Linked DNA regions of Macaca fascicularis. The protein of the gene in region 7 interacts with the protein of the main gene of each other region in a pairwise test. Links are inferred from orthologs where the notes say so. Each region holds a gene or a part of one and is shown on either strand. Other genes may lie near its edges. The genes, in order: LZTS2, LRRFIP2, PAK5, SORBS2, FSBP, KRT40 and ATPAF2.

Region 1 (3,500 bases), on a different chromosome or scaffold from region 7:
AGCTCCTGCTCTAGCTGCCGGTTGCGCCGGTACATCTGGATGTAGTTGTGCTGCAGCTGCTTCTGGTAGCGGATCACCTGCTCCTTCTCTGCCTGCCAGGCCAGCCGCTCCCCTTCAAAGCTGTCCCGCTGCTCCTCACCCCGCCGCCGCTCCCGCTGCAGCTCCACCCGCAATCGCTCCACCTGGGCCCGCAAGCTGCCCCCAACCCCGGCTGCTGCCCGCTGCACTTTGGCCTCATCACTCTCTGCCAGGAGGAATGGGTCAGCGGTGGCAGGTGGCACAGCCGGCTCCCGGAGTCCAGCCGCCTCAGCATCCAACTGCCCAGCTTTCTCCCGCAGCCGCTCGGCTTCCTGGCGGTGTCGCTGCAGCTCCTGGGAACAGGCTTCCAGCTCCAGCTCCCGAGCTCGGGCGGCCTCCTGTAGACCCCGCGCACGGCCCTCACTGACCCGCAGGGTAGCACGGGCCTCCCGCAGTGCCACCCGCAGGGCCACCAGCTCGCTGCCCTTCTGCACCAGCTCTGCCTGAGACTCCTTCAGCTGCTGCTTCAGCAGGGAGATCTCGCCTGATTTCTGGCACACCTGGGGGTGGGAGGCAGTGGGGAAGGATGGTGAGACAGGTTCTCCTGGGGGGACAGGCCCTGTGCATCATGCTGGGCATTCGGGAGGAGAGTCCATCTTTATCCCCATTTTATAGATGGAGACACTGAGGCAAGTCTAGTGACATGTCCAAGGTCATAGAGTGAAGATGTGGCTTAAGTGGAAAGCAGACATAGATTTTTTTGCTTCAAAGTTGGTGTCTTCAAAGCATCACGAGACACTGTGGAAGTACCACCGAGCCCTGGGGACTGGGTGCTGGCAGGTGCTGCAGGAGTGGGGGCAATGGAGGGCAGTACCCAGGTGTCTACTGGAGAGGTACTACAGTGACTTGGTTAAGAGCTCAGATATTGGAGCCAGACTGCCTGGGTTCAGATTTGGCACTCCAGTCTTTCTGGGCCTCAGTTTACTCATCTCTAAAATGGGGAGACTAGTGGTAGCCCCCTCAGTGTTGTTACAAGGATGAAATGATCTGTCCCATGTAACATGCTTAGAAGAGTGCCTCCACACCACAAACACCACATTCTTACTACTGGCTGGAGCGTGGCTTTGTGCCACTAGACAAGGCCAACAAGGAGACCCTCCTCCCAGAAAGGAACAGAGGAGAACTTCATCTCACGGAGGTGAGGAAGGGGAGGACCTCTGGGGGTGGCAGGCTGAGGGAGGGTGCGGCTGGGCCCCTTTTTCCAGGGTTTCTCCCTGTGTGACCCTGCTCCCTGCCCCTCCTGGTCTGGCCCACCTCCCACTTGGTCTCCTCAAGCCTTGGCCCGAGCTCCCGCTGCTCCCGCTCCAAGGTGGCGCAGCGCCGCTCCAGCTGTTCACGCTCCTGCAGCAGCTGTGCAAAGTCATCCTGCAATTGCCGCTTCTCCTGCTGCAGCTGGAACACCTGCAGCTGCAGCAGCTGTTGGGCCCGCTGTGCCCGCTGTGCCTGGGCTGCACAGTCCTCTCGCAGGGCCTCGCGCTCTCGCTGCCAGTGCCGCTGCCGCTCCTCGTATGCCTGCAGGCGAGAAGACAGACCCAGCTCCTGGGCAGTTTTCCCAACTCCCCACTCAGTGTCTGCCTGGCGGCCCACTTCTGAGGGCTCAGGAAGGGTGTATTCCATCAAACAACAATAGTAATTGCAACAATACTAACTGCTTTTATAATGATCATAGAAACAAACACAAGAGCAAGCAGACCGGGCTCGGTGCCTCACGCCTGTAATCCCAGCATCTTGGGAAGCCGAGGTGGGTGGATCACTTAAGCTCCGGAGTTCGAGACCAGCCTAGGCAACACAGCAAAACCTTGCCTCTCCAAAGAACAAAAATTAGCTTGGTGTGGTGGCGTGTGCCTGTAGTTTCAGCTACTTGGGAGGCTGGGGTGGGAGGACTGCTTGAGTCCAGGAGGTTGAGGCTACAAGGAGCCGAAATCGCGCCACTGCACTCTAGCCTGGGTGAGAGAATGAGACCCTGTCTCAAAAAAAAAAAAAAAAAAGCACTTGGCCGGGTGCAGTGGCTCAGGCCTGTAATCCCAGCAGTTTGGGAGGCTGAGGCGGGTGCCTCACTTGAGGCTAGGGGTTCGAAACCAGCTTGGCCAACATGGTGGGAACCCCGTCTCTACTAAAAATTCAAAAAAAAAAAAAAAAAAGCAAGCATTTATGTATAGCATTTCCTAGATACCAGGCATTAGTCTAAGCACTTTACACCTTTTGCCTTATTTAATCCTCATAACAATCCTATGAAGCTAGAAATATCCCTGTTATAGATGAAGAAATAGAGGCTGAATAAAGTTAAGCAACTTGCTCAAGTCCAAAAACTGGTATTTAGCAGTGGGAGGTTTGAATCCATGCACTCTGACTCCTTTCCACCCCACAAGTTTTGTTTTTTGTTTCTTGTTTTGAGATACAGTCTTGCTCTGTTACCCAAGGCTAGAGTGCAATGGCAAAATGTCAGCTCACTGTAACCTCCTCCTCCTGGGCTCAAGTGATCCTCCTACCTCAGCCTCCCAAATAGCTGGGACTACAGGTACATGCCACCACACTCAGCTAATTTATTTTTAGGAGAGATGGGGTTTCCCCATGTTGCCCAGGCTGGTCTCAAACTCCCGAGCTCAAGCAATCCGCCCACCTCGGCCTCCCAAAGTGCTGGGATTACAGATGTGAGCCACCACGTCTGGCTATTCCACAAATTAAACCAGACAACTGGTGGGGAGGGCAGGGGGGTCACAACTACAACTACCCAACCCCTCTTCCCTGCTAAAATGGAAATGCCCCTTTCATTCCCCAGGCCTTGGGATGTCCTGCCATGCCCCTTCCCCATCATTGCCTCTGACCACACCTGGCACATGGTAGCCTCATTCTCGTCCAGACTGTCCCGCAGCTGCTGAAGCTCTGCCTCCCGCTCTCGGAGCTTTCCTTCCAGGACACAGTGCAGCAGGGCCTCGTCGGAAGGAGGTGGAGGCGGGGGTGGTGGTGAGCGCTCCCCACAGGAGCTGCTGTCAGGGGAGGCCCGGGTACCACTGCCCAAAAGCCCGGCAGCCACACGGCCCCCCAGGGAGCCTGTGCTCTTGCTGGAGGAGGACCGGCCACTGTCTGAGTGGGAGGGCCCAGTAGGGACCCCTCGGGCTGGCCCAGGCAGTGCCCCTCGCCCAGAGCCATGGGAAGGCAGGTGCCCGCCTGGGGAGCTGGTGGCTGGCTCGGCACCTCCGGTGCTGTAGGTGGGCAGGCTGGACAGTGAGTTTCGGCCAGAGTCGGATAGCGTCCCTGATGGGCAGCCACTGGCCCAGCCACTAAATGCCAGGGGTTTGTCAGCAGCTGAAGAGGAGGAGGAAGAAGAGGAGGAGGAGGCAGGGCCCCCAAACAGCTGTGTCAGGCTGCCCTGGCTCCCAGACAGCCCGGTGGCCCGAGGACCCATGAAGCTAGGCAGGGAC
Region 2 (3,986 bases), on a different chromosome or scaffold from region 7:
TGTTTCTCAAAGCTGATGGGTATAATTGTCCTTGTCTCTCGAACCTTCCCCATTAGTGCCACAGTGGCAGCCCCCATAAACTGTAAGGGTGATCAAGCCTTCTGAAATTGCAGGGGAAGTGGGCAGCACAGAAACAGTCCTTAAAAGGCTTTAGAGACAGGTGCTCAACATGGAATTAGTGGGCTTATTCAGGGGCTTCTGGAATCTGCAGTCCCTGTATGTAAAGTTGTGGTTAGGTGTATTTCGTGCCTTTTTTGTTAGGAGGCTCCTCAACTATCACTTCCTCCGAGAGGTCTTCTCTAGCCATCCTATCCAGCCAGAGGCCTCGTCCACAAAATCTTTTTCATCACTCTGTGTGTTTCCTGCAAAGCCTTACTACACCTGTCATTACCTTGTTTGTTTGCTTCAGTCCGTCTATTCCACTAAGGTGAGCTTTCCAAATGCACAACCCTGGTCCTTCCCCAGTGGCTTGAACCTGGTGGGCCTCGTTAGATACTTCCGGAATAAATGACAAGTCCGTGTCTATCAGATTTTTAACACACTTTATACTCCTCCATCCATCCCGCTCTCCGTCCCCCACTCCACCTCTCGGGCAAGTATTCTTCTCCAGAAATAATTTTAAGGTCATGCGTCTTCATTTTTGAAGTGAAGCTTGGGCATTTCGACCACACCCACCCACCCTCCCTCGCATACTCGTTTCCTAACAGAGCGTTACTCCAGCCCACTTGCCCAAGCCCACCAGGCCGCAGGGTTTAGGAGCAACCAGGGTAAGGGCAGCCCTGAATCGGAACAAGTGTCAATTCACATTACCGGCACTGGTCCTGGTTCGGAAAGCCTGGGCAGGAACCGTGCGACCCAGAGAAGCCACCCGCCCAAGGCCGCCTCCAGCCTCCGCCCCACCAGCAGCCCAGGGCCCCGCCCTACCAGCAGCCGCGCCTCGCCGCCCTCCCTCCAGCTTGGCCCTAACGGCTCGCAATGGCGGAACAGGGAGGCAGGAGCACCGCCGCTTGGGGAACCTCACCCGCCGGCCCAGGGCTCAGCTCGTCGTCTGACAGCCCCGCGTACTTTGCCCAGCGGGGTGCAAGGCCGGCCTGCGGCAAACGCCACTCCCGGGCAGTCACGGCCACAACTGCTTCCGGGTGAGCGGGTCGTCGACCCTGTGGCCCCGCCCATCCTTTGCCTCCTCAGTCGGCCGCTCAGGCTGCGGCTCCTCCCGGGGCCGGTTCCCGCTGTCTCAGCCGCGGCGCAGAGGGCACTTCGGCCTGACCGACTAGCCGGCTGCCGGTGCCGGGAGCCGCCGCGTCCATCCCCGCCCGCCTGGCCGGGGGACCCAGGACTGAGTCGTCCAGCTGCGCCCCTCGCCCCTAGCCCCAGCGGGCGCCGGGCGGGCAAGCCGCTCTTCGGCCCTTCCCGGACAGCGACGCAGTCACAGCGCGCGCCCTAACCCAGGTAAGGGCCGCTCCTCCCGCCAGCCCGGTGGGAGCAGGGAGCAGGGAGTTGGGGACCTTCCTCCCGGCCTCCGCAGTCCCGTGGGATCCGCGCCGCCTCTGACCTCGGCTAGGGGGCCGGGCTTCCCTGGGGACTGGCCGGCCCCCGGCAGGCTCCCGGACTGGGGTCGCCCCCTGCCTGCGGCGTTCTCAGACATCCCGTCTGATTTCTAACGCTCACCCTTCCTCCGCGCAGGGGAAAGGTACGTGTTACTCCCACTGTGGGAGAAATTAAATTGGGCAGCTGTCCCTCCGTTTCGGGTGCCCCAGGCGCCTTCTCTTCCTCCCTAGATGCCACACTCCAGTTCTGTCCTGGGACGAGCACCCCCAGGGAACGGTGTCAGGACGGTGTAGGGCGTAGCATTTTTTGGGGAATTTTACTTCTTCCTTGACCTGAGCTGGAGCGCGGGTTTAACAGGCCCTAGCTGGGTTAATACTTGACTAATATGAGGCGTTATTGACACCCAGATTGTTAAGTTACAGAGCTCCAGTCAACCCTGCCTGTGAGTAACCGGCAGGATGCAGGAGGACCTAAGGAAACCCACTTCTTTTTCTTTCTTAGAGAGAAAAAAGTTCAAGTGTTTGCTTTACTTTTTCCACCGTGGGAGCTACAAATACAGGCTGCTGAGACATGACTAGATAAATATTGTATCCTAAACCTTAACTGTTAGTAGCTGGTTTTCTTTGAGTTTCCATTTAATAACTCAGCATTTCTAGTATAAACAAAAAAATTGTAGAGTGGATTGATTGACTAAAAATGAGATGTAAGGATAAGAGTGGTTCTTAATTTTTTTATGTTGTCATAGTTGGAAGAGAATGTGGATGCAGTAATGGAACAGAGAGGGAGAGCAGGGTGTGGATGTATAAGTTCTTAATCAGTGTTTAAAATAATATTTTTTCAAGATAACATTTTATTTTGGGGATAAATCTATATGAAAAAGTGCAATTATTGGAGAATGCAGTGTTGCAAATAGAGTTAGTTGGCAGGGACTCCAAGGTTGTTGCAGCACTAACCCTGTTTAACCAACATCATGCTCTGTTTAACAGATACAGAGATAATGACCTAGTATTATAATATACTTATGTAGAATAAGAATTTCGGAAAGTGTGATTCATTTCGAAGGTAGATCACTCACTTTGTGAATCATTGCTATGAATCTGAAAATTGAAATAGAGAAAAGCTAAGTTCGTGTCTGCCTAATGAGATGGCATTCTTTACTCATTTAGTAGAAAGTGTTGTATTATGTTTTGTTAGGTCTGTTGCTGGATATTTGTCATCATGAAGAATGGTAATGAAATAAAAGTTGAAGTATTTGCAGAATGCTCGAATTTAGAATAGTCTGTTGGTTTTTAAGTGATTGTTTTGGTTTTACCCTTCCCCCCACTTTTTTTTTTGCCAGATGTGGGAAGATAAATGAAGGGGTCTAGAAGTAAGTGTCAGTGGAAAGGAGAGCTACCATCACTAAGGTATGAAAATGTTCACTGAAAGAATTTGCACTATACAAAATAGTCTTTTGAGTGGAAAGCATCACCCATTTTTGTGATTCTGTCTTTAAAAATGTAGAATGAAACTACATGAGTTATTATTTAAGTTCTGTTCTAGAAGAAAGTGTGTATTGAAGTTGTGATTGGAATGGATTCACTTTAAACTAGAAATAGCTTTTTATTGCTGAAATGTAATTTGATCATTTTTGACTTTCAAGTGTTAAGTAAAATAAGGTTGAAATCACAGAGTTCTTGATACCCTTAGCCTTGTTTTTCTTTTCCTTCTGTTGGAGTTCAGCTGATTTTTTACCTTGATTTTCATTTATGAAGAACTTTAGCTAGTTATAAAGTAATGGCAAGTCTGTCCTGTTGGTCTAGCTTACTAACTTCCTTTACTTCTTTCACTAAATTTTGACATCTTCTTTTACTTTGGATATCCATTATATTCAGAGTGTTCCCTAATGTTGCTTTTGATTTTTGTCCAGCTAATAGTGACTAAAGAGTTTCAGTTCCCTGTGAACACAGATTCCCTTTTGGAAAATCCCTTGTGGAAATCACCGTAACTGACAGTCTTGATAGGTAAATACGCAAGGGAAACCTTTCCAGGTCAGGATTTAAGTATCTCTGTAATGAAAGGAAAAGGTGATATGGAGAATGCATTTGGCAAAGTATTTCTGTCTCTCAAAACAAAAACAAATCTTGGTTAGATGTGAATTTAGCAAGAGGGAGGGAGCAATTTCTTGCAAAACTGTTTGTGGATTGTTTAGCCTGTTGCTAGTGTGAGAAGGAACAGAATTGATGATATATAGAAAAAAAATAATTCTTGTAGTGTGTTGGGAATGTTGACGAGTATCATTCAAAACGAAATAAAATTCTTCCGTCTTTACCTTAGGATCATTATCCATTGCACCTGCAAAATAGAGGCTGTTTCATAGCTTTTTCCTTTTAGGTAGTTGCTTTCCATCTGGAACATCTAAATTGAGAGATGGTCCTTTAATGGGGAAAATGTACTAC
Region 3 (3,500 bases), on a different chromosome or scaffold from region 7:
TTAGTGAAATACAGTCACATCATATTTATCACTCATATATCAGAATATCTTTCAAATAAATAAGTTTATTTGCCTTTTAATGAGAAACCAGGTAGGAGGGCCCAAAAGATAGGTTTTGATTTTAATGAATATATATGCCTTATCCTAAATCTTCTGCCCTGGGGCCTCAAAAGTGGAGACAGGGTGGGTTTTGATATTAATTTTCCCTTAAAAGGCAAACAAGTAGTTGGCAATCTGATCGTATAAAAAGATCATCCCAGCACCACCCTTGTGGAGGTTTTTGTACACTTCAGGGAAAGGAGGTAGCAAACGTTACCTTTGGAATGCACATTGTGGGCTCGGACAAGCGAGGGTAGGTGTAGGAGTTGTAGGAGTGTCCTTGGGGATGGGTTTTAAATGCACTTGCTCCAAATGGCATCATCGGTTCCTGGAGCCCCGAGCCTGACCTGGACCTCTGCCGCATGGCGGGCTGGGGGCTCGTCTGATTCAGGTACGAAGACTTCGGCCTCCTGTCATAGTCATCCAGGCTGGGTCCCCATTCACTTTCACTGTATGCCAAGCTCTCCTTGGAGCACCCGCTGGTCCCTGCAGTTCTAGAAGGTGTGAATTGGAATGAATAATCCAGAGGGGAGCTACTCGAGGCTCTCTGATACTCCCACTTGAGGTCACTATATTCACTTGGTTTGCTCAGTGAGTCCAAATGTGAGTGATAATCAGCAGAAAATCTGGCGAAATCGGATTTCAAAGGCTTCATCTCAGAATAGTAGGCCTCCCCGTGCTTCATTTTCATTACGTGCCCATTTTGTTTGGCTGCATGGCTGCCTCTATAATACGGATCCAGATCGTCTCCATAGAGACTCTTCTCCCTGTACTTTTCGGTGGTGTAGTCAGCAGTAGTATCGGATTCGCTGGAATACTGGGAGAAGGTGATGAAGCCATTTTCTTCCGCGTGGCCTGGACCGTGGCTGGAGGCTCCCTGATCTGGGGTGGGTGGGCTTTCTTTCCTTAGGGAGTTGGAACGAGTCACCGAGATGTTGTCAAAATCCTCTAGCAGGCCGTTGATGGAGGTTTCCTTGCAGGGTTTGTTTCCTCTAACGATTGTCTGGGGATAATAAAAGGAATACTGTTTGAGGAAAATATTTCATGACTTTAAGTTGACGGCGGCATCCCACCCCCACTCCATCCAAATTAAACTACAGAAGGAAAAAGACCCCAGGAACACTTAATACAAAATGACAAAGAAAAAATCGTTGATTAACTGTAGTGGTGAAATAAATGAAATAGTAGACAATAATCTCAAATTGCAATTTTCTTCCTACCTATCTCAATAGAGACATCAATTAACCACCAAAAAGCCATGTACGAGACTACATAGGCTCTCACTGTTTCATTTACCAGTTTACAGGCAAATCCCTTCCCCCTGCTTCTTCTACCTAAATAATAAGCCCCAACCATCTATAGATGAGCTGATAATTACAATTTAACACTCTATAACTGTTTGGTAATAAAAAATAATATTTATTACTGTTTTACATTCATTATTCAGATGATTTTCAAAACCAGAAGGCATTGTCGCCCAAGTATTAACATAACTAGAAATGGGTGTACATTTTTTACCCTTATATGGAAGACACATAATAACTGAGGTTATGAAATTTTATAGATGAGGAAGGCACTTCTTGAAACTGTAATTAGGAAACAGCCTGAAGATTATTTGTGTGATTTATGATGAAATGTGATATTCTTATTAAGTATATATACTTATACTATACAGCTTGTTTGCTCTGGCCACACTTCTGCGTAACATCATCGCTGAATTTTGGGTGGCTTAGTAATGATGGTTGCACCTGGATCTTAGTGACAAATTGTTCCCTTTAATGAACCTAAATAACACAAGAATACCAGGAACTGAAAGACATCGCAAACCACTTACAAAACCGTCAGCTGTTCCTTGACAATGACAGGATTCGCAGGAAAATATGATGGGGGTGGATAAAAGAACAAAGAACAAAGTGTTGTGACTTCAGACTTCCAGGATTTTAGGAGAAAAATACCTTTGAGCAACTAGCAAGGAGTTCAAAACCATCTTGGATGGTACAATAGAAGACTTCAAACTGGAGGAGGAAGTCAAAGTTTTCCTGGAGCTGATGTTTTATAAATCTATCCATGGTGAAACAGAGGCTTTATTTTTTTTTCTCTCAGAGTCCTGGACTAATGCTTTTGTTCTATACCCTTTTCTTTCAAATACATTTTTTGTTCTAGAATAGTTTTAGATTAACAGAGAAGTTGCAAAGAGAATACAGAGTTCTCATAGACTTCTCATCCAGTTTCCCCTTCTGTTAATATCTTGCATTGCTATTAAGGAAACTCCATGTTCCTATAGATTTCATTAATTTTCTTCTAGCGTTCCAGAGTTCTATCCAGGATATCTCGTTACATTTATTTGTTGTCTTCCGAGTTTCCTCTGATCTCTGACAGTGTCTCAGATTTTCCTTATTTTTTGATGACCTTGACAGTTTTGAGGAGTACTGGTCAGGTATTTTGCAGAATGTTCCTCAGTTGGGGTTTTCTTGTGTTTTTCCCATGTTTAAACAGAGGTTATTTGGTTTGAAGAGGAAGACCAGAGAGTAAAGTCACATTTCATCACATGATGTTCAGGGTACATAACATCGACATGACTTAGTAATGATGATGTTAGCCCTGACTACCTGGGTGAGGTCGTATTTGCCAGGTTTCTTATACACACTGTCCCACTCCCCTCCCCTAGCTTTCCATATATTGTATTATTTGGGAACAAGTCAATAAGTGTAGCCTCTACTCAAAGGGCAGGGATTTAAGCTCTGTCTTCTGGGGTGTGTGTGTGTATGTTGCGGGGTATCTATATAAAGTAGTTGGAATTATTCTGCACAGACTTGCTTATTTGCTCCCATTTACCTACTTATTCAATTATCTATTTATCTATAAGGATGGATGGACTCATGGTTATTTATTTTATACTTTGGGTTATAAGCCAAAACTATGTTATTTGCCTTGCTGCTCAAGTGGTTCCAGCTTCTGTCACTGAGAGTTCTCTCAGGCTGCCTGCTGTGTCCCTTTCACAATCCCTCTTCCTTTTATTTTTCGAGCACTTCCTGACTTTCTGTCACTACAAGAAGCTCCAGGTTTATCTTTTATTTTCCCTGCCCTTCCCCCCAAATCAGGCATTTCTCCAAGGAACCCCAACAGTATTAGAAATTAAGATTTGGTTCCGGGAATACTCATTGCTACTGGGTATCACTGCCAGGCCTCAGCAAACAGAGCTCCGAAATAATATGTTTGTAGACTAACTCATGAATACACTCACACACCTATAATTATATCTGTCCATCTGCATCTATATTAACCTAAGCATAAATCCATATTAATGTCTCTGAATCTGATCAAGTACCACATAGTTCATTCTAGCCATTTCGTTACTTACCTGTAACTTCGCTCTGTAACAGTAAAAAACATGGACCCAA
Region 4 (3,500 bases), on a different chromosome or scaffold from region 7:
CTGTGAATCTTTTTTGTTTTTAGGGTTACTGAAAATTTAACACATTTTCAGTTGTGAAGATTTTAGCACTTCTAAATGTGTGATCATTCCTTTAATATGCCACCATTTTTTCCATCAATTATTTTAATCAGTGAGAAGTGTTCTCCATCAGGCATCAATCTCTCTCCATCATATGGCATCTACTGATAAATGATCCAACTGAAAATTCTGAACCAAAATTTTTTTTAAAAGATTAAAGAAATGAAAATTCTGAACAAAACAATGCAGAAGATTCCAGAGTGGGAAGGCAGATGTATTGCAAAGCAAGGCTCTCGGGAGAAGATACAAATTAATCGCCCTCCATCCAAGAATACTTGTGGAGGCAACATAATGAACCAACCTAATCACCTGGTGATTAAGCCAGGAAAAATCAGTGTAGTGAAGGTGATAAATTTAGGTGTGAATTATTCAAAATGAATAATGTCATTATAACTTAAAATTATAAATGCCCAAATCAAATATACCTACAATTTTCTTAGAAATAGCCAAAATGGAAAAATACAGTTAGTGTCTTAAAAAATATTTTTATTTTTTATAAATAAAAGATAGAAAGAAGACAAACATTGGCATGTCTTTGCCCTTAAAACACGTTCTTTGTGCCCCATTGAAAATTAAAAGCGTAAGATCTTTTCTGTTACACAAAATAAATTCCTTATCAAGATAGTCTATTAAAATATCTGTCAACCAACTTCAAAGATCCACAAATAAAGTTTGTTCTGGTGTTGGCACTTCTATTCTGAGGCTACATGAGATTTGTTTGCCTTCATGTAAGCTTCAGTACATCAAAAGGGGCTGGGGGGCTGGTAACTAACTAGCCAACTAGCTTCAAGACAAAAAAAAAAAAAAAAAAAAATCAGTGCAGAACTATTCCATCATTTTCCAAGCTTCAAAATGCCTCTTTTCTGAACTAATGATAAAGTAGCAAGAGTCTGTCCCCTCCTTTAAACTTCATATTAATCTGTCCATGATTTATACCCAATGGAATGTTACTCTTTTTGAAATCATTTCTAAAGTTATGATGTTTTAAGTGCCTTCTAAGAATTTGCAAGGATCTTTCTTATCTAATCGGACTCAACTCAATCTCAAATCGGATTTTTTAATATTGTAAGTGTATTTGCCAAACAAATGCCGATCTAGCGAGGGTGCTGATCTTCAGAATTATCGCTGTACATCATGAGAAGACCATGTCAACGTGTTTCTTCCAGGGAGCTGTCATTTAAGAAAGGAGATACCGTCTACATCCTCAGGAAAATCGATCAAAATTGGTATGAGGGAGAACACCACGGCAGAGTGGGCATCTTCCCGATCTCATACGTAGAGGTAAGCCCTCTGCCTTTCTCTCTTGGATGGTGGTGGTTTCCAGGGTCACCACAGATTTGAGAATAGATGACCATTTCCTTCACAGAGACTCACACCTCCCGAGAAAGCACAGCCCGCGAGACCACCTCCGCCAGCCCAGCCCGGAGAAATCGGAGAAGCTATAGCCAAATACAACTTCAGCGCAGACACAAACGTGGAGCTGTCACTGAGAAAGGTAGCCCAGCTGCTTTTTGTTGTTGTTGTTGTTGTTGTTGTTGTTGTTGTTGTTGTTGTTGTTGTTGTTTCGTCAGTGTTTGAAAAGGCTGTGTATTTTCAAAACGAAAATAGGTTATCTTTTTCTTTAGACATTTTAATGTCAGCCCTATTTTCTACAAAGGACTCCCTAAGGCAGCCCAGAGTCACGGTTCCCTGCTGGTCCCTGTGTCCTTTCAGAGGAGTTCCCTGTGGGATACCAGGCTTCTCCCTCTGTGACTCAGTCCGGGAAACTGGGCAAGGGGCTGAAAAATCAAGGACGTATACATTCGGGAGCACAAAAGGAAAAAGCAGTTTGATACACTTCAAAATATTGTTGTTTTGCTGCCTTATTTTTCAATCTTTTAGAAACAAGATAATCCAATCCTTATCTTCCTCTATCTTGGAATCTAGGAATGGTCCTAGGTGAAGAAAATCCTTCCTCTTGGGGAGCTGCTTTAAGAACCGCCTGTGCAGTGCTCTTCCCTGGATCATCCTTCTTTGGGTCTCATAATTGACCCAAATTTCTCTAGCAGCCCATCCAATCCTAGCATCTCTTCTTAATAATATCAAAAGACTCGAGGCCGGGCGTGGTGGCTCACTCCTGTAATCCCAGCACTTTGGGAGGCCAAGACAAGTGGATCATGAGGTCAGGAGTTCAAGACCAGCCTGGCCAACATGGTGAAACCCCATCCCTACTAAAACTACAAAAATTAGCTGGGTGTGGTGGTGCACACCTGTAGTCCCAGCTACTTGGGAGGCTGAGGCAGAGAATTGCTTGGACCCGGGAGGCGGAGGTTGCAGTGAGCTGAGGTAGTGCCACTGTACTCCAGCCTGGGCAACAGAGCAAGATTCAGTCTCAAAAAAAGAAAAAACAAAAAACAAAACAAAACAAAAAAAACTCTTCTTGCTACTTTACATAACTGAGAATGATAAATCAACTATTTTTATTGCTTTCTAAACATGACATATATTTGTTTGAGGTAACTGCCTCTGCACACAACACAGGCAAGATAGTAATATTTAGAGTGGCTCTAGGACTTCCCACGCCTACTAGTGAAATCCTTAGCCAGGTGCGATGAAGGGCAATACCACAGTCCTGGTTTGTTCTGGTCCTGGCAGAACCTTGTCTCATTCTCTCCTATCAGTCCTAATTCGGCATCATCAGCCGATTCCTTCTTTCCTACCCTCTGGGCTGCGCCACCCAGCATTACATGAACTCTATCTCCTATTCCATGCTCTACGGAAAGGCTTCACCAGTGCCTCTTACAGCTCACACAGGAGCCTAGCAACTGCCTGTTCTTGGTGTACTAGAAAATCAGTGCAATTTTCAGATTTTGGGGAGACTGACTTTTCGTTTTTCTTTCTTTCTTTTTTTTTTTTTTTTCTTTTTTTGAGATGGAGTCTCACTCTGTCACCCAGGCTGGAGTGCAATGTGTATTCTCAGCTCACTGCAACTTCCGCCTCCCAGGTTTAAGCGATTCTCCCACCTCAGCCTCCGGAGTAGCTGGGACTACAGGTACCCACCACCACACCTGGCTAATTTTTGTATTTTTAGTAGAGACGGGGTTTCACCACGTTGGCCAGGCTGGTCTTGAACTCCTGACCTCATGATCCACCCACCTTGGCCTCCCAAAGTGCTGGGATTACAGGCATGAGTCACCGCACCCGGCCTGAGACTGACTTTTCTTGAGTATGTGCTGCTCAGTCACCACTGAGCACACAAAATCAACCATCCAGTGTTTTGACACAAAGAGAACTTTCCCCAAGTGCTACTCAAGGTCGAAGTTCTTCTTGGGTAGCACCTGAAGAAGGGTGCCCTATTGGGCTGAGATTAATGACTGTTTCAGCTCCATCACACCTTCAGGTGCCGCTGCCAAGCTTCTGTATCACCTGCTGAATGCAGCTGC
Region 5 (3,978 bases), on a different chromosome or scaffold from region 7:
AAACCTGGAATGGGAAAAGGTTAAAATTGCATATGAAAATTAAGTTTTTAAAATCACATAATTACTATTTCAAATTAGTAGGTAAAATAAGAGTATAAACATAGACATTATACTCCCAAGTAAATTAAAAATATGCCTTATATCTGGAACATTCCATTCCATTTTAGCTAAAACATTACAACTAAGGCATAACAATGTAAAAAGGGAGAAAAAAAGCTTTAGAGCAGGTCACAAAAATGACAGAGAAGGACTTGAGAATCAGAACTTTGAAGATCAGTTTACAAAAACACAAAATAAAAACTGATATTAGGAAGAGGTAAAAATAAAGACATAAGTCAATGTGAGTTACTGAAATAAATAGCCTTACAAAACAGGTATATATTTTTAAGTATTTTAAACAACGCAAACACTTGTATTTTCCTTATTAAAAAGGAAGAGTTTGGTAAGATTAACAGGCATATTTATGTAGAAGTATAGTTAAGATTATAGAATAATTATAAACTTCTGAGATTATTAAGATTCAAGGATGATGTCAATCAAATAAATATAAGCACATTAAATATATAGATTAAAGAAATAAGCTAACACAGAGAAAATGTCAATGCAGACACAGTAACACAAGAATTTAAGAGGGATGTTTCTCACATTCTTCCCTTTAAAACCTAACAAATTGATATTATTTAAGTCATAGGTATAGAAACGCACAAATCAACTCATTTTTATCAGAGAAATGTTGATATCCCAAAAGATTTTTTTGTGTGTGAATATTGTAAACATACACACACAAATGGTCAAAATATAACCAGATACTTGTATATTTATATATTGTTTCTCTTCTATACTCACTGTATCTTTAAAATATGCAACTAATTAAAATCACAGTTTCTACATGTAGTTTTCAAATTATAAAAACCTATACCTACTAACCACAGGGTACAGTTTTATACCTGCAATGCAAAAAGCATTTTTCTCCAGGGTTCAAGGGGGACAAAATTCTGCATAAGTAGCATAGTATAAAACAATTTTACTGTGTAGTTTTCTGGATATCCAGCTATTGGGATTTCATCTTTTGTCATCACAGTGAACATTTTAACCAGTGGCCCCAAGAATTAATCCACTGTGCATTCACGTCCTGGATTCCCACTGGTGGTATTTTTTTACTGTGCTATCAAGTAGAAATAAGCAATATCTGGTAAGAAGCTAGGCTCAAAAATACTTTCCTAGTAAATTACCAAAATAACATATGCACTTGGCTACAAAGTGGTTTTTTTCTGTTTCTCTTCTAATTTCAAAGGGATTTCACAGTAATCAATAATTTGCTTATATAATGCCTCTTCCACCAATAGAAAAGCACATTGTGTAAAGCTTTGTGTGAAAGGCTCCTCAAACTAACAAGGAGTTTACAATTTGTTTAAATTAATCTAAATGGTTCAGAATAAGAATGTAGCTGCCATCTTTATATTTTGCCAGAGGTTACAATCTGAATTAGTGGCAAGATAATACTTTTGAAAATTCCAAGGCAAACAGTTACATAGAACACAAGTTTAACCAAAAAATTGCTTCTAACTCTAAAATAACCCAGTTGCTCTTAGGGGTATTTTAAAATTCATAATTTGATATCCTTGCAAAGCAGTAAGAGAAAGTTTACTCTTTCCTATATGATCCAAGATCAAAGTGAAACTAGACCATTAAGGAATAAAAACAAAAAAAAAACTTTTAATTGTATTAAGTAAACTGAATCCCTAATTAGGCATTAACTCCCTTTAGTTGCGTTCATCTTTATTTTAAATGTGTTAGAAAAATAATTTAAACTGTCTTCATATACACAATCATGCCATTAACAAGTTTACTTATTGATTTAAGTTATATTTGTTAGTTAACACATATTCAGTAAGTGTAGACAATGACAATTCATAAAAAACAAAGGTTCCATTTCTCTAGAAACTGCTAACTTTATATAAATTTTATATAAAATTGAAAATTCCAGTGAAATGTAATACTAAAAGAGAAAAAAAGTATCTCTCAGAAGCAAACAAAATAATTTAATTTTAAAGCTTCAAAAGTTTATGAAGTTATGTCACAAATTTCATCCCACTTATTCCTCCCTAACCTTTACTTTTAGAAACTACAGGAGGGAAGGGGGAGGGGAAGACAGTAAAAAGTAGCTTAAATGCAACAGAAAAATTCCTCATAGCCTCACTTTTCTCTTTTTAAAAAATGCAAAACAAAGACACTATTCATTGCTCCCGTTGTGGGGATGCTTACTATGCATATCTCTATCACGACTAAGCCAAAGCCCAATAGATAGGAGGCGCCATAATTTTCCATAACAAAACAAAATAAAGCTTACCTTTGTATGTGGTTCCTGTCTCTTACCAGGCAAAAACTGGAAATCTGGGGAATCATCTCCATAACTTTCTTGGTTGGCTCAGAAATATTGCTTTTAAAATCTGATTGGGTATCTTTTTGCTGCAATAGCTCCTGTTTGGCATATTCTTTGAGCCTTTTGTAAAGGGTGCGTAGGCCCTGTGCTGTTCGAGGAGGGCGGTCTACTCCAATTGCATTATAGTTAACTGCTATGATATCCCAACATCTATTCTTTTCCACTATTACTGAATGTTTATTAGTGTGTTCTTCGAGAATTTTCACATATGGCTTCACAAGCTTTAGCAAATCAAGCTTTTCGGATAAGGTAAAATTGGAAGATCTAGCCTTTCCTACCATTGTTCTTTTCAAATTAAGTAGGCAGTTTCTGAAACCACCATGCAGCCTTCAGCTCTGCTCAGCTCTTTTCACAAACAGAAAAAGATCAGGCTTAACTAGGCTAGCCTCATTTAGGCCCACGCCTACAGGGGAGGGTTTATTAAAATTCCTCCAGCTTAAGCTGACGCAGGTTCAGGAAATCTGCTTAAGCCAAGCCTGACCTACATAAAGCTTCTCACTGAAGAAGACAGGAAGGCACAAGCAAAACACACTTGTGTATAAAAGGAACAGCTCGAGACAGGATTTAATACACAAAGGTCTAGAGATAAGCATGGAACACAGCTAAAAATTAGCTAATTTAGTGAGAATATCAAATTTCACACGTATGCCTAGCTGACAGACTGAACTGCATTGCAGTATCACTTTAATAAAAACAAAAGAGGAACTGTTTTGTGCTATTTGTTTGCAAATCCAGTAGACAGAAAACTAAAAGATATGAGTGGTGAATGCAGTAATTCCTAACAGAGCCTCTCATCACTGTTTCTGAGCTGAGTGTTCTCCCTTACAAAATCTGCATAATGCTGGACCTGCTGTCAATCAGGAATTGCATATCCCCTAGCTAGTTAGGTTACACCCAGACCCAGACTCCACGGTAAAGCTAAGCTTCTCCTTCATTTTACAGTCTACATTAGCCTCTGCATATTTTTTTCAGTTAAGAAAAAATTTTTATAGAACACTCAATCTAAAAATCATGTTTTTAGAGCAATGGATTATTCTAGCCGTAATGTATGTGAATATGCTAGCCTGCCTTATCATGTGTAAAAAATCACTATTCATGGTGAGAAACAGTATAATCACGCCTTAAGACTCCACACACGAAATCGCATTTGCTATTATAATACAGCCAGATTTTTTATTTAGCTATATTCACACAGTTTGGACTATGAAAGGAAACAGCTAGTATAGCCATTTTCAAGGCCACCAGTTTCAGTACTTAGAATATATTTGTTAACCCCAGTATGAAAATATATGATACATAATAATGTAAGCAAGACAAACCTATTTTCTCACAATATACATGTTTTTCCAGGTAGGGGAATAAATCAGAACATACTTGAACATAGTTCTATCCAATCAAACTATTACTGAACAACTGCAAAGTATTAAGAGGTGGGAAAAATAATTTTTTTTTAATTACTGACCACATATATAAATGCTCCCAGGCACTGTGCAAGACCCAATGAAATCAAAAGTGAATCTAAATATAGCACCTAC
Region 6 (4,216 bases), about 44 Mb from region 7:
TTAAAAGTTTATAAATGCGGAATATTTAAAAACACTGGTCCAGATAGTGTATGAGTCCTTATCCCTTTTTTGAAACGGACTTCATAGTCTGTTTCTCAGACTGATTTTCATACCCTGTGGATTGGAGCTAGGGGTGGCATAAAGCCTCCAAAGGAAGCCATTTGTGAAGTTACTCACCTCCTCCACAAAGGCAAGGGCAGGAGAAGAGTTTGGTTCCTTTGTCTGGCACTGTCTAGGGGCTATTTCACATGTTAATTCAGAGACACGCTGGAATGATCAGGTTGAATAGTAATAATGCCTCGAGTAGTTTTTCTGCTTTTTTGTTTGTTTGTTTTTTGAGATGGAGTCTTGCTCTGTTGCCCAGGTTGGAGTGCAGTGGTGAGATCTCGGCTCACTGCAACCTCCGCCTCCTGGGTTCAAGCTATTCTCCTGCCTCAGCCTCCCGAGTAGCTGGGACTACAGGTACCCACCACCATGCCCAGCTAATTTTTGTATTTTTAGTAGAGATGGGGTTTCATCATATTGGCCAGGCTGGTCTCGAACTCCTGACCTTGTGATCTACCTGCCTCGGCCTCCCGAAGTGCTCGGATTACAGGCATGAGCCACCGCGCTTGGCCCTGCCTGGAGTAGTTTTATTCCAGCTTAAGCAACATCCGCCCAAATTTGATTTACAAACATCAACAGATCATCTGTCAGTGTTAAGTACGTTACTCTCGGAGTCCTTCAGTGGCGTTGCCGCTTTCCTTACCTCTTCATGGTTTTTCTTAAGGCAAAGGAGATCTTCCTTCAGAGACTCCACATGGGCCTCCACATCAGATTTGCACAGGGTCAGCTCATCCAGGATCCCATGCAGGCCACTGATGTCTGCCTCTAATAGCTGGCGAAAGGACAGTTCACTCTCGTACCTTTCACGGCAAAAGAGAAATCCAATGCTTACTTTGCTGAACGCTGTGCAAAGTGTGGGGATACGTGGAGGATCGACACATGGACTTCAGGAAGCCACATGCATAATTTCTCTTAATTCCTAAGTAATGATAAATTCAAGCTTTTAAAACATTCTTGACTTTAAAATATTATATAGAGAATATTTGTGGGGGTGTGTGTGTGTGAGAGAGAGAGAGATTAAGAGAGAGAGAGAGAGCGAGCCATAAATTATTTTCAAATTAAAATTAAGGCAGGGTGTGGTGGCTCATGCCTGTAATCCCAGCACTTTGGGAGGCCGAGGCAGGTGGATCACCTGAGGTCAGGAGTTCAAGACCAGCCTGGTCCACATGGTGAAACCCCATCTCTACTGAAAATACAAAAATTAGCTGGGTGTGGGTGGCGGCGCACGCCTGCCTGTAATCCCGGCTACTCAGGAGGCTGAGGCAGGAGAATCGCTTGAACCCAGGAAGCAGAGGTTGCAGTGAGCCGAGATAGCGCCATTGCACTCTAGCCTGGGCGACAAGAGTGAAACTCCTCAAAATAAGTAAATTAAATTAAATTAAATTAAATTAAATTAAATTAAATTAAACTTACTTTGACTTAAAGTCATCAGTGGCCAGTTTGCAGTTGTCAAGCTGTACAGCAAGTCTAGAATTCTCTGCTTTCGTGCATAAGATCTGGGAAGCAAGCCATTATGTGACAAATGATTCTTTGAGAGAAACCTAAATAAACTTCTATCCAACAGCTGTGCCATTAGTTATCTTTTGAAAGTCTTTATAAGAAAGTATAAAATCACCCTCAGCCTGCTTTTCTTATTGACCTTGTCGCTTCATGAAGAAAAAAGCAGTGCCAATTTAGAAGCAAAATAGAGAAATAAAAAGGTTTAGTTTTTTAATAACATAAGACACTTTGCAACATCCCTAGGCAGTTGAACACCATTAACGTTTTCTCCATCAGTAGTTTGTATTATGACTCTATCCTCTCCCATAATAATAGAAATTCATCAAGGAGACAAGCAAATGATTACTAGGTGGTTAAAAAGATGGCATTTGACGATTTGTGTTCAGATAATATAAATGTTCAGTGTCAAATACAAAAGCGATTTTGGATGTAATACAGTTTTTCTGCATTCTATAGATGATGAAGGAAAAGCCTAAGGGCGAGTTACTTTATTATAGTCACTCAGTTATCAGGGGTAGTTCTGGCGCTGGTGCTGAGGTTTTCTGACTTTCAGTCCAGTGGTCTCCCCTATGTACCATTAACTCCTGGAATTCCCCTTTCCCTTGGTTGCCTTCTGGAAAACCGTCCCTCTGGTAGAAAGATAAAGCAAGTCATAGATCCGGAAGGTGGAGCACTAGGGCAACAGGACACACACCTTTTGTTGGAGATCTTCAATGGTGTTGAAGTAACACTGATAATCCGGGCACACCATTGGGATATCCTGTTCACATTGTTCTTGGATCCTGGATTCCAGCTCTGCGTTGGTCTCCTCCAGGCTGCGCACCTTCTCCAGATAGTTGGCAAGTCTGTCATTCAGGAACTGCATCGTCTCCTTCTCATTGCTAGTGAACACCCCATCCTCACACCAGGCACAGTTCCCCACCAAGCAGGGACTGTTACAACTCCCAGTAAAGTAGCATGGCAGGAGGCAACCAGTCAGCCCGCGAGACCTGGATAGGAAGCTTGGAGTCTGACATCGGGATGTAGCACAGGCACCGGGGAGACAAGCTGTTTCTATGCAACAGCTTGAGGCAGGTGCACAACCGGAGGCCGTGGTACAGGATTCAGGAGAGCAGTGTGTGGAGGAACAGTCAGAAGTCATCCTTCCAGAAGCAAAGACAGAGGCTGGCTGCAAAACTTCAGTTGCCTTGACTCCAAAACTCTCCTTCCCTCCTGAGAGTTTTATAACGCCCCAAAATGGGTGTTTACAGACTGCACCGGATGTTTTCTTTATCACTGATGGTGCCAGTTTTCATACAAACATCTCATTAGAGTTGTTTATTTACTGAGGAAGAGTTTTATGCCTCATAAAAGAGGGATAACTTTAGGTTACCGAAGCAGGACCTACACCATTTCCATGTGCCAGACAAAACACTTATTTCAGAAAATTGTCATAGGAAACATTGTCCTTTTGACAGAATAAGAAAAGAAAGAGAAAATTTGGCCAATCAATAATTATAGATACAACTCATTACAAATCAGGAAAATAACATGTCCACAGATTTTGATTCTGTGCATTGATTGCTTGGGTCCCCTTTTAAAATTAGTATTACAGCTCATAAAATGACATTTATTTGTTTGTGCCACCACCATAAAAATGGTCAGTGTGATTAGCAATCTTTCAATGCTTTTTGTGTTCTCAGAGTATGTGCTGACAAGACTGGAGGAGTGAGCTATATATTGGACTTAATGTGTGTGTGTGTGTTTGTGTGTGTGTATACAAACATGTCTACCTGCGTACAAATGGAAAAGTCACTTTACGTAACTGATAGGAATAACTTGTTTTTCTGCAGGCTAAAATATAAATTGGTTAGAGCTGGAATTATGATCTTTGATTTTCTGAAACTTGCCTTCTCCCCATTTCTCATTTCTTGTTATTAGATAAGTTACACTATTTTACGTGTATTTCTAATGAGAGTGAAATATAAATTGTAAGTTATAACCTTTTAGTCCCTTGGGAATTCCTCAATGATTATACTTCAGAGTAGGGACAAGGAACCCACAGGAGTCTTTTCTTCTGAGATGTACAGCCTGTTTTCTCCTATTTATTTATTTATGAAGGCCTGAATTTCATGAAAATTAAAACTGCTGGAACTTGCAAAATAAAATTTTATTTAGGTTCCAAATCAGTGATTCCACTGGATGAAATCTCTGGTGCCAAATCTGACAGATAGGAACTTGAGATGTGTAACTTTTTTGGATTCTGTCTTGGATTTCAGCTCCATTATGAAGCATAATCTGTTTCACTTTGCTTGGTTTTAGTCGTTATGTTTATTTCATTTTCAAAGGTGCATAGAGAAAATTGCCTGTAGAATTTTTGAGAACATTATAGGAAAAGAAAACACAGTAATCTGAAAAAGTTAAAAATTTTTTGATCCAGAATAAACTTATTTTTTCCCCTAATCCTGAGGGCTACTTCCTAGGTAGCTGATAATAGAAACCAAACCAGAAGAACATATGTAAGTGAGTTAAAATAGTCTCTGAGGATTTATTACTCCCTGGGCAGAGTTAGGTTTGAATTTAGTGATTCTCTTTACACATCAACACTTATGCAAAAAGTTCTTAGAGTGTC
Region 7 (3,500 bases):
GGAACTTATTAGAAATACACATTCTCAGGCTGCATCCCTATAGAATCAGAACTTCTGGAAGTGGGGCCCAGCAATCTGTTTTAACAAGCCCTCTAGGGGATTCTAATGTAAGCCTGAGTTTGAGAACCACTACCCTAAATGCCCCCAAATATTTGACAGGTCCAAGCTTGCTGCGCTATGTTACTGTCATTCTAAAGCAGATCCAATCTACTAACTGCAACCCTGGGTCCACACCCGCTTGACCTGGATGCTGAATGGGAATGCTGTGCCAGATGCTCAGTCTTTGCATCTCTACCCTCACCCCCTCCAAGAGACTGTGCCCCTGGTCACAGACCAAAATAGCCTGTTTACACCTCACAAGCCCATCCACCTCCTGGCTACAGATGCAGCTGCTGGCACAGATGCCAGACCTGATGGGACCAAGCTAGAGGCCAGGCTGTGTCATTTGTTTGACCAAGAGACACAGGCATGAGTCAGCTGAGGGGAGCTGAGCTGCAGGGTTTTATGGGATGGGAACCCAAGTAGGCATTATGGAAATCCACCGTCTTGTGTAAGCAACGTGGGGAAGAGAGGTCATGAGTTATGCTGGGAGGGGCAGATGGGCAGCCAACCTTTCCTCCCTCACCTTCCGCTCACCCCAATAGGGCACAGGGAGGAGCTCTGACATTGGATCTTATAGCTCCCTTTCCTGGTGGCCCGATCGTCCTTCATTTCCTGTCAGGATCCCTGTATAGTTTTCAAGAATCCTCTTTTTGTCTGAGCTAGATTGAATGGGTTTCTGCTCCCTGAAGTCAAGTGAACCTAATATAAATGGAGCGGGCTTTCCCACTAGCTATGGGCCACCCACTTCGAAAGCATGCCTCCAGTCATCAGTGCTGACTTCCTGTGTCATCGTGAGATGACTCAGGATACTAGAGCACTTGGGCTAGCAGGCACCGTGCTGCTCAATCATTTCCATTGTTTCTCAACTTTCCTTCGGCAACACTGACCAATTAGCCAAGATATATAGACACAGAGGAGAATTCAGAACTGGAGAAGGACACTCCTACTTATCAGCATCCATAGTGCCAAGGATGTCTACCTGAGAAAGTGTCAGTGGGCAGAAGTTTAAGGTCACAGGCGCCCCCAGGCCTAAGGAGCCTGTGGTCACGGCACCTGCAAGAGCTGCATAACCACCCTCCCAGCCTAAGGAGCAGCTTCTAGGCTAGAGAAGAGGGGTGGCCATGTTCTAACACCATTGTAGCCTGAGCAGTCCTCCTCCTAAGGGGCTACAGAGCAGCCAAATGCCAAAGTCAAGTGGGCCACCTTCCCTGTCCTTGCAATAAATGGAGAGGGTTTCTTCTTCCACTGATAACCATCTGGGCAAATCAGGAAAAATAGCCCCAGGGACTGTCTCAATCCAAGGGGAATGCCCATCTAAATGTCCATTACCAGATGGTGTCAGTGTCCAGAAACTTCACGGCTGCCCGGATCAGCTGATCCTTGTTTCTCTGGGTTGGGTTGTCCAAGGATGTGTTGCACAATGTGGTCTGAATCAAAGGCAAAAACCACCCTGTCACTGCCTGTGGGGCTCAGACAAAAGCCCTGCTTTCCTGAGGACACCTCATCTGACACATAGCAGATAGCACCACAGCACAGCCCTCCACCAGAGGCATCTGCACTACCGGAGCAGCAGCACAGCTACTGAGAGTGTGCCACAGCCAGGCCCCATGCCAAATGCTTTCTGTCGATGCTCACAGGACTTGAGGGAAGCTTGCAGCAGCCCCATGATTAGTGAACCTCCCCACAGTCACATTATTACCAGGTTCTAGTGTATTTAATCCTCACAACAACCCTTTGGAATAGGTACTATTATTATGCCCATCTGAGATGTGAAAACTGAGGCCCAGACAGGTTAGGTTAAGTACATCATCAAATACAGTTAATAAGACACGTATCAGTGATGGAGCTCAAATCTGACTGGAAACCTTTACCAGCTGCCTCCCTTACACCTTAGAAAGGAGGGAAACAGACCATGCAAATCAGGACTAAGATTATTTGTTTTGGCCAAGTGTGGTGGCTCATGCCTGTAATCCCAACACTTTGGGAGGCTGAGATGGGTAGATCACCTGAGGTCAGGAGTTCAAGACCAGCCTGGCCAACATGGTGAAACCCCATTTTTATTAAAAATACAAAAATTAGCCAGGCATGGTGGTGGGCGCCTGTAATCGCAGCTACTTGGGAGGCTGAGACGGGAGAATCGCTTGAATCCAGGAGGCGGAGGTTGCAGTGAGCTGGGATTGCACCATTGCACTCCAGCCTGGGCAACAGAGCGAGACTCTGTTTAAAAAAATATATATATATATTATTTTTTTCCAGGCTTACCTTGTCAATAACAGGCTGCTTAGGTTACCCTATTCATTTGTAGCCCCAATCACCCCAATTTCACTAGGTTGTCAAGGATTAGGCCAGCACCTCAGCAGGCTGTGATGTTGGCAGGAGGCCCATGTGAGTTTGCAAAGGTTGAGCACAGCAGCGACTGGGATGACAGCAGCTGACTCCTACACTGACTCAGTGCCCAGTCAGTGCTGGGGACCATGCCAAGGGCTTTCTTGCATCATCTCATCTCATCCTGACCATGGCTCTGTGAGGTGGGTACTATTATCACTCATCTTTAGGAGATGGGGAATACGGGGCTGTGAAAGGGGCAGCAACCTGCCCAAGGTTACAGTTTAGAAGCTGCAGAGGCTGGACCAAAGAGTCTGGCTGGGCCCTTCCTTCCCCAGGCAGCCTTGGTGCCTAGATGAGCCACTTTGGTGTGGACGAGGGGCTCTGGTTCTATAGGGAGTCTTCCTCACCTCGCCCATCTGCCTCCAGTGGGTCTTATAGTCAACTAATATTTATTAAGTACCAACTAAACTACCTGCTAGTGGCTGTCCAGATACTGGTGAGTAAAACAGACATGGCTCCTGCCTTTCTGTTGCTTACCAGGCAGTAGAGACAGACAGACAATAAATGTGCAAACATAAAACAATTATAAATTGTCTAAGTGCTGACAAAACAAATGGCCAGCTGCTGTCATAGAAAATAAGAGAGCTGGGGAGTCAGTGAAGGTGACATCTGTCCTGAAACCAAAGGAGAAACCAGTCATCCAGCACAGTGTTCCTAGGAGAGAGAACTGCAAGTAGCCAGGCCAGACAAGGAAAGAGTTTAGCACATTAGTGACTCGAGAGGAGGTGAACACCTGGGGCCCAGGTAGGCAAAGGACCATCCCCCAGGGCCTTGTCAGAATTTGGTAAGGGATCTACCCTAGGAAGCCCTGGGTGGGTCTCAGGGTCCAGATTCGCACTGTGAACTTGTTACCAGGTGCATGGTGTAGTACTTGATGGTATCCTGCTGGGAATCCCATTCAGTGGCCACTGCAATGGCCAGGGCCTCACTGGGGACGGTAAAGAGCTTGGCTTGGGGAGTTTTCAGCTTCCTCTGGTCCAGGTTTATCTCAAAGCCACCTTGAAAGATCA

The links.
Region 1: the proteins of ATPAF2 (region 7) and LZTS2 interact in binary tests that used the Homo sapiens proteins (3 or more experiments, as listed by UniProt). The two-hybrid records come from large-scale screens. The link is inferred for Macaca fascicularis from reciprocal best matches to the Homo sapiens genes ATPAF2 and LZTS2.
Region 2: the proteins of ATPAF2 (region 7) and LRRFIP2 interact in binary tests that used the Homo sapiens proteins (3 or more experiments, as listed by UniProt). The two-hybrid records come from large-scale screens. The link is inferred for Macaca fascicularis from reciprocal best matches to the Homo sapiens genes ATPAF2 and LRRFIP2.
Region 3: the proteins of ATPAF2 (region 7) and PAK5 interact in binary tests that used the Homo sapiens proteins (3 or more experiments, as listed by UniProt). The two-hybrid records come from large-scale screens. The link is inferred for Macaca fascicularis from reciprocal best matches to the Homo sapiens genes ATPAF2 and PAK5.
Region 4: the proteins of ATPAF2 (region 7) and SORBS2 interact in binary tests that used the Homo sapiens proteins (3 or more experiments, as listed by UniProt). The two-hybrid records come from large-scale screens. The link is inferred for Macaca fascicularis from reciprocal best matches to the Homo sapiens genes ATPAF2 and SORBS2.
Region 5: the proteins of ATPAF2 (region 7) and FSBP interact in binary tests that used the Homo sapiens proteins (3 or more experiments, as listed by UniProt). The two-hybrid records come from large-scale screens. The link is inferred for Macaca fascicularis from reciprocal best matches to the Homo sapiens genes ATPAF2 and FSBP.
Region 6: the proteins of ATPAF2 (region 7) and KRT40 interact in binary tests that used the Homo sapiens proteins (3 or more experiments, as listed by UniProt). The two-hybrid records come from large-scale screens. The link is inferred for Macaca fascicularis from reciprocal best matches to the Homo sapiens genes ATPAF2 and KRT40.

Annotation. Positions count from the first base shown.
Region 1 is NC_088383.1:109,962,960-109,966,459, reverse strand, and holds part of LZTS2 (leucine zipper putative tumor suppressor 2), read right to left. Parts: coding exon 2,909-3,500; intron 2,022-2,908; exon of another isoform or gene 1,591-2,021; coding exon 1,333-1,590; intron 579-1,332; coding exon 1-578. UniProt on the Homo sapiens protein: Negative regulator of katanin-mediated microtubule severing and release from the centrosome. Required for central spindle formation and the completion of cytokinesis.
Region 2 is NC_088376.1:99,207,095-99,211,080, reverse strand, and holds the start of LRRFIP2 (leucine-rich repeat flightless-interacting protein 2), read left to right. Parts: upstream 1-1,186; 5' UTR 1,187-1,690; intron 1,691-2,887; 5' UTR 2,888-2,954; intron 2,955-3,986. UniProt on the Homo sapiens protein: May function as activator of the canonical Wnt signaling pathway, in association with DVL3, upstream of CTNNB1/beta-catenin.
Region 3 is NC_088384.1:77,744,157-77,747,656, reverse strand, and holds part of PAK5 (serine/threonine-protein kinase PAK 5), read right to left. Parts: intron 1,103-3,500; coding exon 317-1,102; intron 1-316.
Region 4 is NC_088379.1:190,372,412-190,375,911, reverse strand, and holds part of SORBS2 (sorbin and SH3 domain-containing protein 2), read left to right. Parts: intron 1-1,244; coding exon 1,245-1,359; intron 1,360-1,444; coding exon 1,445-1,573; intron 1,574-3,500. UniProt on the Homo sapiens protein: Adapter protein that plays a role in the assembling of signaling complexes, being a link between ABL kinases and actin cytoskeleton. Can form complex with ABL1 and CBL, thus promoting ubiquitination and degradation of ABL1.
Region 5 is NC_088382.1:104,083,837-104,087,814, forward strand, and holds the start of FSBP (fibrinogen silencer-binding protein), read right to left. Parts: upstream 2,801-3,978; 5' UTR 2,725-2,800; coding exon 2,351-2,724; intron 1-2,350. UniProt on the Homo sapiens protein: Transcriptional repressor that down-regulates the expression of the fibrinogen gamma chain. Represses transcription of GSK3B gene promoter via its interaction with APBA1.
Region 6 is NC_088390.1:62,067,983-62,072,198, forward strand, and holds the start of KRT40 (keratin, type I cytoskeletal 40), read right to left. Parts: upstream 2,801-4,216; 5' UTR 2,747-2,800; coding exon 2,300-2,746; intron 1,602-2,299; coding exon 1,519-1,601; intron 906-1,518; coding exon 749-905; intron 1-748. UniProt on the Homo sapiens protein: May play a role in late hair differentiation.
Region 7 is NC_088390.1:18,141,158-18,144,657, forward strand, and holds part of ATPAF2 (ATP synthase mitochondrial F1 complex assembly factor 2), read right to left. Parts: intron 3,489-3,500; coding exon 3,343-3,488; intron 1,530-3,342; coding exon 1,432-1,529; intron 1-1,431. UniProt on the Homo sapiens protein: Plays a role in the assembly of the F1 component of the mitochondrial ATP synthase (ATPase).